Linked DNA regions of Coturnix japonica. The protein of the gene in region 1 interacts with the protein of each later gene in a biochemical or structural test. Links are inferred from orthologs where the notes say so. Each region holds a gene or a part of one and is shown in the gene's direction. Other genes may lie near its edges.

The links.
Region 2: the proteins of FGFR1 (region 1) and FGF4 form a complex in vitro, tested with the Homo sapiens proteins (2 studies listed by BioGRID and IntAct, with this or other methods). The link is inferred for Coturnix japonica from reciprocal best matches to the Homo sapiens genes FGFR1 and FGF4.
Region 3: the proteins of FGFR1 (region 1) and FGF8 interact in a biophysical measurement, tested with the Homo sapiens proteins (2 studies listed by BioGRID and IntAct, with this or other methods). The link is inferred for Coturnix japonica from reciprocal best matches to the Homo sapiens genes FGFR1 and FGF8.

Annotation. Positions count from the first base shown.
Region 1 is NC_029537.1:3,713,702-3,718,106, reverse strand, and holds part of FGFR1 (fibroblast growth factor receptor 1), read left to right. Parts: intron 1-1,369; coding exon 1,370-1,633; intron 1,634-2,272; coding exon 2,273-2,356; intron 2,357-2,600; coding exon 2,601-2,776; intron 2,777-3,460; coding exon 3,461-3,584; intron 3,585-4,081; coding exon 4,082-4,272; intron 4,273-4,405. UniProt on the Homo sapiens protein: Tyrosine-protein kinase that acts as a cell-surface receptor for fibroblast growth factors and plays an essential role in the regulation of embryonic development, cell proliferation, differentiation and migration.
Region 2 is NC_029520.1:7,212,844-7,217,754, forward strand, and holds FGF4 (fibroblast growth factor 4), read left to right. Parts: upstream 1-1,787; coding exon 1,788-2,091; intron 2,092-2,883; coding exon 2,884-2,987; intron 2,988-3,118; exon of another isoform or gene 3,119-3,212; intron 3,213-4,532; coding exon 4,533-4,709; 3' UTR 4,710-4,810; downstream 4,811-4,911. UniProt on the Homo sapiens protein: Plays an important role in the regulation of embryonic development, cell proliferation, and cell differentiation. Required for normal limb and cardiac valve development during embryogenesis.
Region 3 is NC_029521.1:19,853,526-19,858,420, forward strand, and holds the start of FGF8 (fibroblast growth factor 8), read left to right. Parts: upstream 1-1,771; 5' UTR 1,772-2,234; intron 2,235-2,726; 5' UTR 2,727-2,810; coding exon 2,811-2,842; intron 2,843-2,950; coding exon 2,951-2,987; intron 2,988-4,626; coding exon 4,627-4,807; intron 4,808-4,895. UniProt on the Homo sapiens protein: Plays an important role in the regulation of embryonic development, cell proliferation, cell differentiation and cell migration. Required for normal brain, eye, ear and limb development during embryogenesis.

The DNA of each region.
Region 1 (4,405 bases):
GTATGTGCCTGTGACGAATCTTTTTGAAACACAAATGAGAGCTGCAGGGAGCTCTGTCCTGTGTGGCAGCTGGAGAAAAACAAGGGGAAATTGGATGTGCAAAAGATGAGCTCTTCCCCCCCGCAACCTGCAGGACTCTGTAACCTCATAGTGGAACTTCCAGCCCTGGTTCTGGCCCTTGTTGCCATCAAGGAGGGTGCTGAGCTCATTGCCACATGCTGTTCTCATGGAGGAGTTCATAGGAACTCACAAGCTGTCGGTGGATGGTGTCCCTCTGAAGATGCTCAGATATGTGAGGGCTGCAGGAGGAGTGAGAAGTGGTAGGGCTGCACCTGAGCCTCTGGAGCTGCACACTGGCTCTCCATCACTCCGCTCTGAGCACAGCTGATGGATGTGTGCATGGTTGGGGCTGGAATGCCTTCACTGGATGATGTGAAGTCCCTGGGAAGCACCGGATTGCAGCTGGAAAGGCCCTGGAGGTGACACATGCAGGGAGCAGGCCCTGAGGATTTGCTTTGGGATCTCCACCTGGAAAGTCAACATGATGAGATGGAATGAGCAGAGGAGGCTCAGCCCATGCAGGGCTGCCCAGTGAGGAGCAGGAAGAACACACCCTATGGAGATAGCAGCAGAGGTGTGCGAGCAGAGCTGACACAGGAAGGAGGGCAGACAGTGCACCAGGCTGAGTGTGAGCACTGGGAGGGATTGCTGGGAACCCAGATGGTTGCACCCAGTGCAGGATCCTCATGCAGCACCGCAGGGTGAGGAGAAAACAACATCGATGACCAGGAGAGAACAGTGCTGGGATGGATTGGATCATTGTGCTGATGGAAGGACGTCGCAGGATGGCTACGGGCAGGGAGCACCCGACAGCCCCCACCTGTCTGCAGCCCCCAGGCTGAGCTTCCAGCACTGTCACTGAGCCCTGCTCTCTGCCTGCTGCCCCAGCATAGCCCTGTAACCGCCTGGTGCTGAGCCAGGGGGTCCCGGCCTGCTTTGCTGGCTGTCTGCTGCTGGGCAGGGAGACCCTGGGGTCGAGCCGTGCAGGGTTTGGTGCTCCTCATCCTGCCCTGCTGCCAGCTCTGCCCAGTGTGCCTCAGGTTGCAAATTCCTCCCCATCTCAACCCCCTTCTGCAGCGCTTGGCAGGAGACTGAAGGCGCTTGCGTAGCTTTGGGCTCCACGGCTGTGCCTTGGGGCTGCTTTGGTTGCTTTCAGTGTGGCTGTGCTCAGGGTCCACCCCTGTCCCTCAGCCAATATCCCGCAGCGCATGTTGCCTGATTAACCCAGCCCTCAGCAGCCTGGTGTCCCGTTGTCTCTATTTCTTTTCTTTTTTTTCTCCTTTTCTTCCTCTCTCCCAAACTCCTCCAGCTCTGCCCAAAGCCAACATCGAGGTGGAATCCCACTCTGCTCACCCTGGCGACCTCCTCCAGCTGCGCTGCCGGCTGCGCGATGACGTGCAGAGCATCAACTGGGTGCGTGATGGAGTTCAGCTGCCTGAGAACAACCGCACGCGCATCACTGGAGAGGAGGTAGAGGTGCGGGATGCGGTGCCCGAGGACTCAGGGCTCTATGCCTGCATGACCAACAGCCCCTCAGGGAGTGAGACCACCTACTTCTCCGTCAACGTCTCAGGTTCGTAGCGGTGCCAGGGGGGCAGCACCGAGGAGCAGTGTGCCTGTGTGCACGCCTTGCATGCTGGCTGCCAAGCTCAGTGGGGTGCAGCCCTGCACGCATGGGATGCGCCACCAACTTTGTGCAATATGGGGTGGTTGTGCCCTAATGGCTCAGCGTGGGGATGTATCAACACAAAGCACTGCAGCGGGGTCAGCATTGCTGGGTTTTCTGCTCAGAGCTGCACAGTTGGTGGCCAGCACCCTCTGCACCCATTGAGTCCATGAGTGTTCTTCCACGGTGGCAATGCATGTGTGGGGACATGTGAGTCTGCATGGAACTGAGCACCGGGTGAGCTGGAGCTGAGGTTTTCTTTGGTGGATCTGAAGCACAGTGGTGAGGAATGAGGGCTGACTGAGGGTCGGGGCTTCCTCTGTTTGCAGGACCCCGGATGGATGGGTGTCCCGATGTGCCTGGCAGCACAGTGTGGGCACTGCTTTCCTGTGCCCAAAGTCAGCCTTGGGGGCAAACTGCTCCCTGAGCTCTGTGCTCCAGCCATGCAGTGTTCTCTCAGGGCCTCATGCCATGTGTCAGCACGGTGCACAGGAGAACAGGAGGGGTCTGTGCAATGTTATGAGCTGGGGGTCTCTTCTCTTGTAGATGCGCTCCCTTCTGCAGAGGATGATGATGATGAAGACGATTCCTCCTCGGAGGAGAAGGAGGCAGATAACACCAAGCCAAACCGTACGTGTGGGTTGGGTTTGCCTATGGGTGGGGGTGAAGGGAAGCCAGGTGTGCATGTGAGCGGCATCCAGGGGCTGAGAGACAGGAGAGGAGAGGCAGAGTCCTGCTGCAGCCCTGGTGGAGCCTGGTTGGGGTGTGGGGATGTACCAGGGATATGTGCGCCTCACCCCAGTCCTGCCCTATGTTAACCATGAGCAAACATCAGTGCTCCCTGTGGCTGATCCTGCTGCTTTGTGCCCTGCAGAGGCTGTAGCTCCTTACTGGACCTATCCCGAGAAGATGGAGAAGAAGCTGCATGCCGTCCCTGCTGCCAAAACAGTGAAATTCAAGTGCCCCTCAGGTGGGACGCCCAACCCCACACTGCGCTGGCTGAAGAATGGCAAGGAGTTCAAACCTGACCACCGCATTGGGGGGTACAAGGTACAGAGTGGTCAATCCGTGTGGTCAATGCCTGGGGGTCAATGTGGGAGGAGGGGAAATGAATGGGTTTCAGAGGCCCCGAGCCGCCCATTGGTGCAGCCGCGTGCCTCTGGAAGGGCAGATGGGCCCCCTGACATTCCTGTTGCAAAATAGACCCACGGCAGTGACCTGCTTCTTGGTCATGTTTGCAGCAGCCTTAACCTTTGGGGGAGGGGAGGGGGATGAGCCCAGCCTGGCTGCACTAATCCCAGAGCTGAGCCAGGATGGTCGGGGCAGCCCTGGGAGCACCGCACAACTCCCACATCCAGCACTGCACTGTGGGAGAAGGAGGATGAAGAAGAGCTGCTCTGCTTACAGAGCCTTGGTGCAGCCTGGAGTGTTTGGGCTCAATGTGCCCCCCAGGGCAGCAGGGTGCTGGTGCTCCCCATCTGTGTGCAGAGCCCTGGTGGAGAATGGGATGGAAGCTCAAGGCTTTGGGCATTGCCAGCGTGCCATCAGAACATGGATGTGGGTGCTGTTCCCTTTGTGCCACTCAGGGTGGTGCTCCTGGGACAGGTGGGAGCAATTATGGTCCCTCTGTAGGAGAGGGGAAAGTTGACCATGAAAAGATTTATGCTGTGCCAATGGGCTGAGATGCTCTGATGTGCACACATCTCACCCACCACCCCCATCCTTTTGCCCCAGGTCCGCTATGCCACGTGGAGCATCATCATGGACTCGGTGGTGCCATCAGATAAGGGCAACTACACGTGCATCGTGGAGAACAAATATGGGAGCATCAACCACACCTACCAGCTGGATGTTGTGGGTGAGGATGGTGCTGGGGCTGCTCTGCCTCCCACACAGCAGTGGGTGCTGCGCCCACGAGGTTCACCTCGAACCCTTCTGGGGCTTTTTAATTGTGATGGAAGTAATTTCATAGACCAGACAGAAACTTTTTCTAATCGCCTTATTAGCCATAATTCCCAGCTGGGAAGGCTGGTCTGAGCAGTTCCACATGTGGAGTTGCTCTAAATGCCAGTAAATGAACCATTAAGAATGTGATTTAATTTGATTACACTGAGCAAACTGAAGGGAACAGTCAGCGAGGTGAACAAAGGGGTTTGTTAATGCTGACTCACCACAGTGGCAGCGGCTGGGGCCCTCATTAGGTTTGTTTGACCTCTGGCCCTTGAATAGATAGCAATGTCCCTGTGCTGGGATGTCACCTGGCTCTGTGGGGCTGTGGGATGAGACCCCTTTGGGATGAGACCCCTGTGGATGTGGGTTGCTCGTGCTGAGGTCCCCATCCCTCCATCCCTGCAGAGCGCTCCCCGCACCGGCCCATCCTGCAGGCAGGGCTCCCAGCCAACAAAACAGTGGCCCTGGGCAGCAACGTGGAGTTCGTCTGCAAGGTCTACAGTGACCCACAGCCCCACATCCAATGGCTGAAACACATCGAGGTGAACGGCAGCAAGATCGGCCCCGACAACTTGCCCTACGTGCAGATCCTAAAGGTAACGCTGCACACACACCGGGCTGCCTCAGCCCGGGTCTCTATGGGGTCAGTGCTCTCCCTGGGCACAGCTGGGGACATGTAAGGTGGCATCGAGGCATCTGGAGCCCCACCAGCCCTACCTGCTCTGCTCT
Region 2 (4,911 bases), on another chromosome or scaffold:
TCATGAATTTAAACTTAATGAAGTAATTATCTAAGAAGAATGGCATCATTAAGACAAAGCAGCAGCATCTAAGTACATGCACAACAAAGAATACGGAATAGTCATACGATTAAAAAATGCAGCAACGCTGATGTGCATGGGCAGCCTCTAAAGACCAGGAACAAACTGCTCACTGTCACTCCTGTCCCTATCAACATAGTGACCAAGAAGGAGCCCCACATGTCCTCTACCCCAGAGCAATGCTGTGCTTTCTGGCTTCTTAAAGGGATATTTAGAACCAAAAATGTTATTACTGCTTTCAAGCTTCTACTGATTCTTTAACAGTTTTCTGCCTCGGTCTTTTCCTTATTGTTTTCTTCTTTCTTTCCTTCTTCCTTCTTTCCTTTCTTTCTTTCTTTGATCCTTTTCTTTTCTTTACTTTTCTTTACTTTTCTTCTTTTCTGTTGTTGTTTTTGCTGTTGCATTCTCTTTCATTTTTCATTTTGTAAACCTCCCATGCAACAACTATTTTGGCTGTTAATGAAGGGAATTTTTCTGCATCCAGCAAACAGTAAACCATGTCGCTTGGTTACAGCAAAAGCTGAAATTCCACAGATTTCCACAAAGTCATACATTGTGTTGGGAGAGGAAAGTGTGCTGGGCATTCTCTGACTTTTGTGTCCTGTGTTAGCATTTGTAAGCACTTATAAAAGAGGAGAGGAGAGGAGAGGAGAGGAGAGGAGAGGAGAGAGGAGAGGAGAGGAGGAGAGGAAGGAGGGGAGAGGGAGAGGAGAGGAGAGGAGAGAGAGAGGAGAGGAGAGAGAGGAGGGAGGGGAGAGGAAGAGAGAGAAAAGAAGAGGGAGAGAAGAGAAGAGAAGAGAAGAGAGAGAAGAAAGAGAAGAGAGAGCAGAAGAGAAAGGAGGAGGAATACAGAGAAGAAAGAGGAGTGAGAGAGAAGGACAGGTGATAAAAATAGCAAAATAGAAGAAATAAAGGAAGAAAGAAAAAGGAAAGGGAAGGAGAGGGAAAAAAGAAGAAAAAAAGAACAAAAAGAAAAAAAAAGAAGAAAGAAGAAGACAAAGAAGAAGAAGAAAAAGAAAGAGTACAAAAGAAAAGAAAAGAGAAAGGAAAGGAAGGAGAAAGGGAAAGAGGAAAGGAAAGGGAAATAAAGGGAAAGAGAAACATAAAAGGGAAGGAAAAACAACTTTGTGATTAATGCAGAATATGACCTTTTCTTTTAAAAAGTTTGTTTGCTGTCCCTCTTGTTTAGTGCCAGTGCTTGCTCAACCCTTTCCCACTGAAGCGCTTCGGAGTGTTAAGATCTAGGGGTGATAATTTGACTTTGAGCTAAAAACCGAGGGCCTGCACAGTAGGTGGTGATGTAATAGGTACCAACGCACATGGATATATAAATATCGTGGCTAGGGCTAAAGCGCTATGGCTGAGCAGCTATAGAAGATCAGCACTTCAGACAAGACTCCTGGAGTTGAGATCAAGTTCAGAAGCTCTTGCTCCTGGGATTTCCTCTTCATGCAGCCTGCCCAGGGAAACTGCCGATCCTCAGGGGACTGAGCGCGGGGCTGCCTCCTTCCTCCCGGCTCGCTTTTTCTTTTTTTATTTTTTTTCTTTCTCTTTTTTCTTTTTTTCTTTCTTTCTTTTTTTTTTTTTTCTTTTTTCCGTGTGTGTGTTTTGTTTTGTTTTGATTTTTCTCCCCTCCGCTTTGACCTCACTATAAAGCGGGAGCTGGGGGCCGAGCGCCTTTTCGGAGCGACCGGCCGCCGGCCCGTGGCTGAGCGCCGCTAGCCGGGATGCCTCTCCCCGCGGCGCTGCTGCCGGCGCTGCTCCTGGGGCTGCTGTGGCCGGGGGCGGTGCGCGGCCGGCCGCCCCCGGGCCGCCTCCCCGCCGGGCCCCGCCAGCGGCGCTGGGACGCGGCTCTCTTCGCCCGCTCCGTGGCGCGTCTCCCGGCCGAGCGCCGCGATGCCGCCCGCGACGGCGACTACCTCCTGGGCATCAAGCGGCTGCGGCGTCTCTATTGCAACGTGGGCATCGGTTTCCACATCCAGGTCCTGCCCGACGGCCGCATCGATGGGATCCACAGCGAAAACCGATACAGTAAGCCGGCACCGACCCCCGCAGCCGGGCTGGTGAGCAGCTCCGCACCCGCGGAACCGCTTCTCTGACGGTTCTGCTGGTGCGGAGCGGCTCACCTCACCTAACTGCGGTGTGAGTTAAAGGGAGGGTGGGCTTGGGGCAGACCTCCAAACGCCTAGAGAAGTCCGTCCGCACCGGCTGCCCCGAGGGCGTCCTGCGCCCGAGAGAACGGGACGGCGGCGGAGCTCATAGAGCGCTCCATGCGGCCGCCCCGCGGGTCGCGCTGTCCCCTCGCAGCCAGCAGGCATCAGGTGTAGGGGCAGCCTCAACATCTGGAGGGTCCTCGGGCCCGCGGGCCGCCCAACTTGAGTAGGGGCTGGGAAGAACTCAGCCAGGGCCCAGCTCTCCCTCAGACTTGAAAAGCATCTGCTAGAGTCTTAACCCCATGGCCCCGTGACTCTGATATCCAACTGAAACAATAAGATCCAAGGGGGGGGATATAAGCTGCATGATGACAAATGTTTCGGACACCCCAAGCACACTCTAGCTTATTTTAACCTTAGCTACAGAGGAGGATGCCTGGGGGCAATGTAAAAATAGATACTTAGCTAAAAGAAGAGAGGTCCCAGCATGGTGCATGGGGCAGCACGTGAGGCACAAGGCTGGGGTTCTGTGGCCACCCACAGAAGTGCTGGGGCACAGGGATCCATGCCACACTGGGGATGGGAATCTTTGAACGAGTGCAGAACTGATATCACACAATCCCTCAGGGCACAACCCTTTGTCCCCCTGATTCCTGTGTCTCTTCTGTAGGTCTGCTGGAAATCTCCCCTGTGGAAAGAGGAGTGGTGAGCATATTTGGTGTTAGAAGTGGACTCTTCGTGGCCATGAATAGCAAAGGCAAACTCTATGGATCTGTAAGTAGCCACCAGTTGTGTGCCTGGGGAGGGGACCGTGGTGGCCTGGAATGAGAGATGTACATGGTGCTGGAAGCCAGGGCCCCACAAATGATCCTTTGTGGTGTGATTAATCAGTGCCTGTCACATACCTATTGATCACTCCTTGTGATACTCTTGATTGGAGAGCTCCCATGAGAGTTCAGCATCTTCAGGGTGCAGGTTCTTAGTTATAGGAAGGCAGATCTATTAAGATACAATGCAAAGCTTCTATTACATTTAATCTGTTGAAAAAATAGTGGCATGTTTTAAAACACATTGGATGGACGGTAACAGTGCACATCTTAACCCATGTTGAGCTGTCCTTCTGCTTTTGAGTTCACCTATATGTAAGCTAAAGCATAATTTCAATCCTGTGTTCTTGAATTTCCTTCCCTACCCATGGATTTTGTATTTCATGTCTCTGAGGAATGTTTTGAAAAAAGGGCCAAATTATGTCAAAGTTGACTAGGGCATATTCACATGCATAAAGACTTGAATTATCCAGAGCTATTTTCTGTGGCATCCGTCCTGTCACAGAGGATTTTGACTTACATGAAAGCCAGGAATGACTAGTCATCAAAGTGCAAGAGCTCCCTTTGTGCCAAGCCTAAAGGAGACAATATGATGCTTTGGTGTCTTGGATAAAGCAATTTTCAATGCAGCGTTCAGCCTGGCAAGCTGAGACCTATCTTACAAAACTATCAACTTCTGCCCACTAACAAGAGATGACTTCATTTGTTACTGCCTGTATGACACACCTGTAACACCTGTCCCTCTTTGTACTTGCATGTGAAAGCCCTTTACTAGAAACATGCCTTCTGTCAGCTCTGTCTTCCTGATCCATTAACACAGATAAATCTAAACCCTTCCTTCAGTTTTAAAACTGAAGGTGCAGAAAATACTGTCCATGCTGAGCATCTTTAAAATACCCCTTTCCCTTCAAACAAAATGAGAAAGTGCTAACATTCAGATTTTTTTTCTGAAGCCTATCAGGGAATTCATTGCTAGGACAACCACTGGTTTGGGAACCAAGTAAATTTACTGGTATGCAGACTCAGAAATATCTGTGGGCCCTTGCATTCTGACATGGGGACATGAGCACCGGTTACAACTCATAACTGTCATTACTCATGTCTGACAGCTTCTTTTCCCCTTCTTTTTCATGAGGAAAACTCATCCGCCAACCTAGAGGATGAGCAGGGCAGCAGAACAGCACCTGGGTCATTCCTGAATGCAGTGCCCTCTGTTAAAATGGACCTCTTTCTCTCAAGAGCACAGGCAGAGTTACAGGGTGTCCTTCCATCCTCCACGTGTCTGTGCCTGGCTGGGAAGCAGCACCCTTAGTAATTCTCTGAGTGTCATTTGAAGCTTCCTTTGGACAACCACTTCAAAAGATTACTAAGGGAAGGGGGGGATGTCAGCTGCACCGTTTACTGCAGCACACCTACTACACCTGGTAGCAAGAATATTTCTGCACCTGATGTTTAAAATTCCTTCCCTCTCATTCTTTCCTTTTCATTTCAGACCCATTTCAATGACGAGTGCAAATTCAAAGAGATCCTCCTGCCAAACAACTACAATGCTTACGAATCCAGGATTTATCCCGGGATGTACATAGCCCTGAGCAAAAACGGAAGAACAAAGAAAGGCAATAAAGTATCTCCCACAATGACGGTGACACATTTTCTTCCTAGAATCTGAGACATCTCCCTTCCGACCTACCTCAGCACAGGGGAAGACTCAGAACACATCTGGGAAAAGAGAAACGTGGTGCACTTTTACTGGAGAGTTTTATGCAAGAGTAGGTGTAAGATATTTAAATTAATTATTTAAATCTGTATATATTGCCACTAAACTTATTTATAGTTCTGATTTTTTTTTCTTTTTTTCTTTTTTTTTTTTT
Region 3 (4,895 bases), on another chromosome or scaffold:
GTTAATGGTGAGTGGTGGGATCGCCCCGGGCTGCTCAGCACCACTCAGCCATGGAGGAGAGCTGCTGCCTCCACAACGCCCCATTAATGCTGCGGGCAGGAATGGGGAGGGTGAGAGCAGGGGGAGTGGTGTCCCTTTGGCTCCGCTGGGGGGGGTCTCTGTGTGCCTGCTTGGAGATGTGTGGCCGAGCATCCAGACCTGCAGCCAGGAGCTCCTCTCACCCTCAGATGGGTGCTGAAGTGCCCCCTGCAGGTGCTGCTCTCCTCCATCAGCTGGGGTTGGTGCTGTGATCCCTGTACCAGCAGTGCTGGGGGGTTGTGGGGAACTGCAGCCACAGCTTCTCTGGCAGAAGGGGCCCCTCTGGGCTGACTTGCTCACTCTTCAGGGCTGTGGGTAGAGACGGTGCTGGAGCAGGGACACTGCTGAGCTGTGGAGGCTGTCAGGGATGTTGTGTGATGGAGCAAACAGAGGAGCAGGACGGCCCGTCTGCTGTCTGCTCCGTGGTTCAGCCCAGCTGGGGCAGCCCTGGTATCTCCTTCAACCACCAGCAGCCTGACCACAGGCTGCCTTCCTGGGCAATCTCCATTAGCCATGGCAAGGCAAGAGGGTGATCTGGGGGATAAAATCCTGACCTGAGTATCCCCAGCTCTATGGAAAAGGAGAGCAGAGCTCACATCTCTGTGGGTGTTTGATGCTTCACTCACAGCATTCAGTACTGAGACCCGATGGGGCCGTGCTGGCTGCCTGCCCCAGGAGTGACCGCTGTGGCAGCAGGAACACCGCAGATCCGTGGCTCCTTGCTGGGACGGGATTTCTCCCCCCGCCCTATGGCAGCTCAGCCCAGTGCCTCAGGCTGAGCTTTCTCTGCCCAGCAGGAGAGCCAGACGTGAGCCCAGTGCTCAGCTCCCCGCCCCGTGGCATTGCTCACCTGCACAAAGTTGGGGAAGGACGGGGCAGCAGCAGGAGCCTGTTTGTCATTGTGTCGGTGACGTGCGGCCGCCCGTGGGTGATCCCCGTGTCACAGCCGTGCTGCCACTCGAGCCTGTTTGTTGAGGGCAGGGGGCACGTGGAGCTGTCAGCCCCCGGCTGCCTCCCACCCCCCAGCACAGCATCAGTTGGACACGGTGCAGTTGTGCGCTCTGTGCACTGCATGGTGCTGCATGGCCTGACCCTGCGCCCACGGAGGGGTGAGCACGAGTGGCATCTGGGAGAGAGGTGCTGCATCCAGACCCCTTTCCTTGCAATGTATAAGAAAGGAAGGATTGCTCCACTGCAGGGTGGTGGGAGCACCTTGTGCTGCCTGCTCTGGTGCTCAGCTTGTGGGCACGGAGCTGCCTTGCACCCTGGGTTGGTGCAGGGGGCTGAGCACCCCCAGAGCCCGCCCTGCAGCCCCCTGGGTGAAAGCGGGCCCAGCCTGGGGCTTCTCCAGCCATTCAGGAAAGCCCTTCAGAAACATCCTCCGGTCTTTTGCACAGAGAAGAAGGGGGCAGCAAGGTGTGGTGGCCGCTCCCAGCGCCTGGTGGTGGGTGAGCCTCGGGGGGTGATGGTGGGCAGCGTTTGGGGGCAAAGCATTGGAGGGTGCCCGAGCAAGGGGGGAATGAGCAAGCTGCGGTGTGCGGGCAGGGCAGGGAGGGCTGTGCGGGGCTGCAGGGTGCGTGTGTGCGTGTGTGTGTGTGTGTGTGTGTGTGTATGTGTGTGTGTGCGTGTGTGTGTGTGTGTGTGTGTGTGTGTGTGTGTGTGTGTGTATGTGTGTGTGTGTGTATGTGTGTGTGTGTGTGTGCGTGTGCCGGTGCGGGAGGGCCGCGCAGGAGCGCTGTGTGTGCGCTGTCACTCAGAGGCCGGCTGACAGGAGCTGCCTTTCCAGCGGCGGCAGATAGCGCTGATTGCTGATTCGAGGAAACAAAATAGCAATTGTAATTATGGGCTCTGATAAGATAAAGGAGGGCGCGGGGAGCGCGGGGACCGGCAGCGGGGCACGGCCGGCAAATTAGCGGCTGTCACTCAGCGCGGAGCAGGCGGCCCCGGCCAGGTACCGGCCCCGGGGTCCCGCCCGTCAGCCGCAGCCCCGCCGCAGCCCCCGCCCCGGTGCGCAACAGGTGGCGGGGCCGGGAGCAACGGGGCTCGCCGAACAATGCAGCCCTCGGCGGCCCTACCCGGGCTGCGGGGCTGAGCCCCGACCCGCCGCGGCCCCATGGCCCCGCGCAGCCGGTGCTGACGGACGGCCGCCCCTCCAGGTAAGAGCCCGGCGGGGACGTCCGGGGAAGGGAAGGGAAGAGGGGGGGGTCCCGCCGCCCAGTACCCCCGGCTGCGCTGTTTGCTCAGCCTCTCGAAACTCCTGCCCACCCCTCCGCCCCGGTAATCCTTTTAATGTCTGGCACGTCCAGCGAGAGGGCTCGGCCCCAATCCACAACGCGGACCCGTAAGCCACGTTTTACAGATGGGGAAACTGAGGCACGGCGCGGGGACGGCATCCCTCCGCCGGCCGAGCCCGTAGTGCCGCCACCCCCGAGCGGCCGCTGCCGGAGGTTCCCTTGCTCCGCCGGGGCCGCCCCCCGGGCTCTCCGCCCCCGCCGCCTCCCGGGCCGGCAGCGGAGCGGAGCGGGGCGGGGGGCTCCCCGCGGCGGGGGGCTGCCGGCCGCGCTCCCCCGGGGGCTGGGCGGGCGGGCCGGCGGGGGCCTTTCCCCTTCTGTAGCCGCTTGTGCCCTCCTTTCCTCGGGGCGAGGCAGGGCGAGAGGAGTCGAGGAGCCGAGCAGAGCCGCGCCCCCACCCCACCGCCGGGCTCCGGGCTGCCGGCCCCGCAGCGCTCCGCTATGGACCCCTGCTCTTCGCTCTTCAGCTACGTGTGAGTACCGCAGCCCTCCCTCCGCCTGCCCCCAGCCCTCCCTCCTTTCCTCCCCGCAGCCCCCCGGCTCACATCTCTCTCCCGTTTTCTGTCCACCCCCCCCTCCAGGTTCATGCACTTGTTCGTCCTCTGCCTGCAAGCCCAGGTAAGCTCCCGCTCCGCCGCCGGCTTTGTTCGCCCCTCGGGGCTGGGGGTCGGGACGGGGGGTTGGCTTAAAGTCCCTCAGACGACGCGAGCCCCGCTGGAAAGAGCCGGGAGCGGGCGGCTGCGCACCGGCTGCGGGATGGGGTGCGGGGGTGGGAGGACCCCTCGCCCACCCTGGTTGCAGGGGCTTCGGCCGTTCGGTCCTCCCGTTCTTCTTCAAATCGCACTACGGATCGGCCCTTCCTCTCGTGTGGGGGTGTTTTTTCATCTGAAAAGTAAAGTAGAATCGAGATAAAAGCGTCGGGGTGGAGGAAGAAAAAAGGGGAGAATAAAGGAAAAGGTGGGGGGGAGGAGAGGAAGAAAAGAGAAAAGGGAAGGAAAAGGGGAAGGAGGGAAAGAAAGTCCATTTCCTTACTAAAAAGCGTAGATTTCAGTCCAGCTGAACGTTGCTGCTGCTGGTTGGCATCGCCGGGGCCAGGAGTGTCAGCAGGAGATGGGGCTGCGGCTGTGTGTGCAAAGCGGGGTGAAACCCCCTCCCCCGAGGCCACAGGTGCAGAAGCGTTTTGAAAACGCTCCTTAAGCCGCTTTTTATTATTATTATTGTTATGATTATTTCATTGGAAGCTCAGGAGGAAAAAAAAAAAAAAATGGAGTTTCCAGCCCCAAAGCAAAAAGGAGTGTGCGGTTGTATAAAACATAGCTGTAATATTTTGGAGGACGAGACGGAGCGGCACGGCTAATGACCTCTCCTCCACATGGTACCCTCATCAGGGCCGGGAGAGTCCGTGCGTTATCCGCAGGCGGCTGAAGGAAAGGCGCGGAGGCAGAGGGGTGGCACTGGAGAGGGGAAATGTCGGTGTAGGGGCGGCTGCGGGAGAGCGGCGGCTCCGGCTTTTATTGGGGTCTGCTGGTGGTGGGGAATCTTCCCGTTTGACGTGGGGGTAGCGGGGGGGTCCCGGCCTGCTGGTGTTGAAAGGATCGACCCGCTAACATTTGCTCAGAATACGTCTTTATAAATGTCAGTGAGCAGCGAAACTTTCCGGACTTAAAAGAGGGGATGGAGACGAGAAGGGAAAGGAGCCCTGTGCTGGGGATGGGGGAAGCGGATCGGGCTGAATTGCTTGTGTCTGGGGAGCAGAGGGTCTGGAGGAGTTGGGTCGGCTGCTGCTATGGGGCCGGGGGTCAGCACTGGGATGGGGATGGCACCGGGATGGGGGTGAAGGTGAAGGATGGCTCACACGTCGGTAACGGTACTCCTTGGGGTTTGTGTTATAGATACCCCGTGAGGGGAGTGGAGTCTTGATGGCTCATAGCTCTACCTCATCTGTGGGTTTGGGGCATGAAGAGCAGGGTGTTTTGGGGAAAGGGGGTCCTGGAAGCTGCATACCCCATCTCAGGTACCTCCATATGAGCTGGGACCCACTGAGTCCTAGTGGACACTGGGAGTCCCTGAGCTCCTTCATGTCCCCAAGACACCCACACTCATCTGGGGGATCCCGGTCCCCAAAGGGCTCAGCTCCCCCCCGTCCCACTGACTCTGCTCCTCCTCTGCAGGCGCTGGTGATCCTTGCTCAGCCCGTTCTCCCCTCTGAGGAGTAGAGATTATAATGGTGTGTCGTATATTTTTTAATTTCCTAAAGGTAACTGTTCAGTCCCCACCTAATTTTACACAGCATGTGAGGGAGCAGAGCCTGGTGACAGATCAGCTCAGCCGGCGGCTCGTGCGCACCTACCAGCTGTACAGCCGGACCAGCGGGAAGCACGTGCAGATCTTGGACAACAAGAAAATCAATGCGATGGCAGAGGACGGGGATGTGCACGGTAAGGAAGGACGCGGCCGGGGGGGCTAAGGGGGGGGCTGGGAGGTGTCCTCAGTGCTGTGTGCCGATTGATGGTTTCCGTCCTGTTG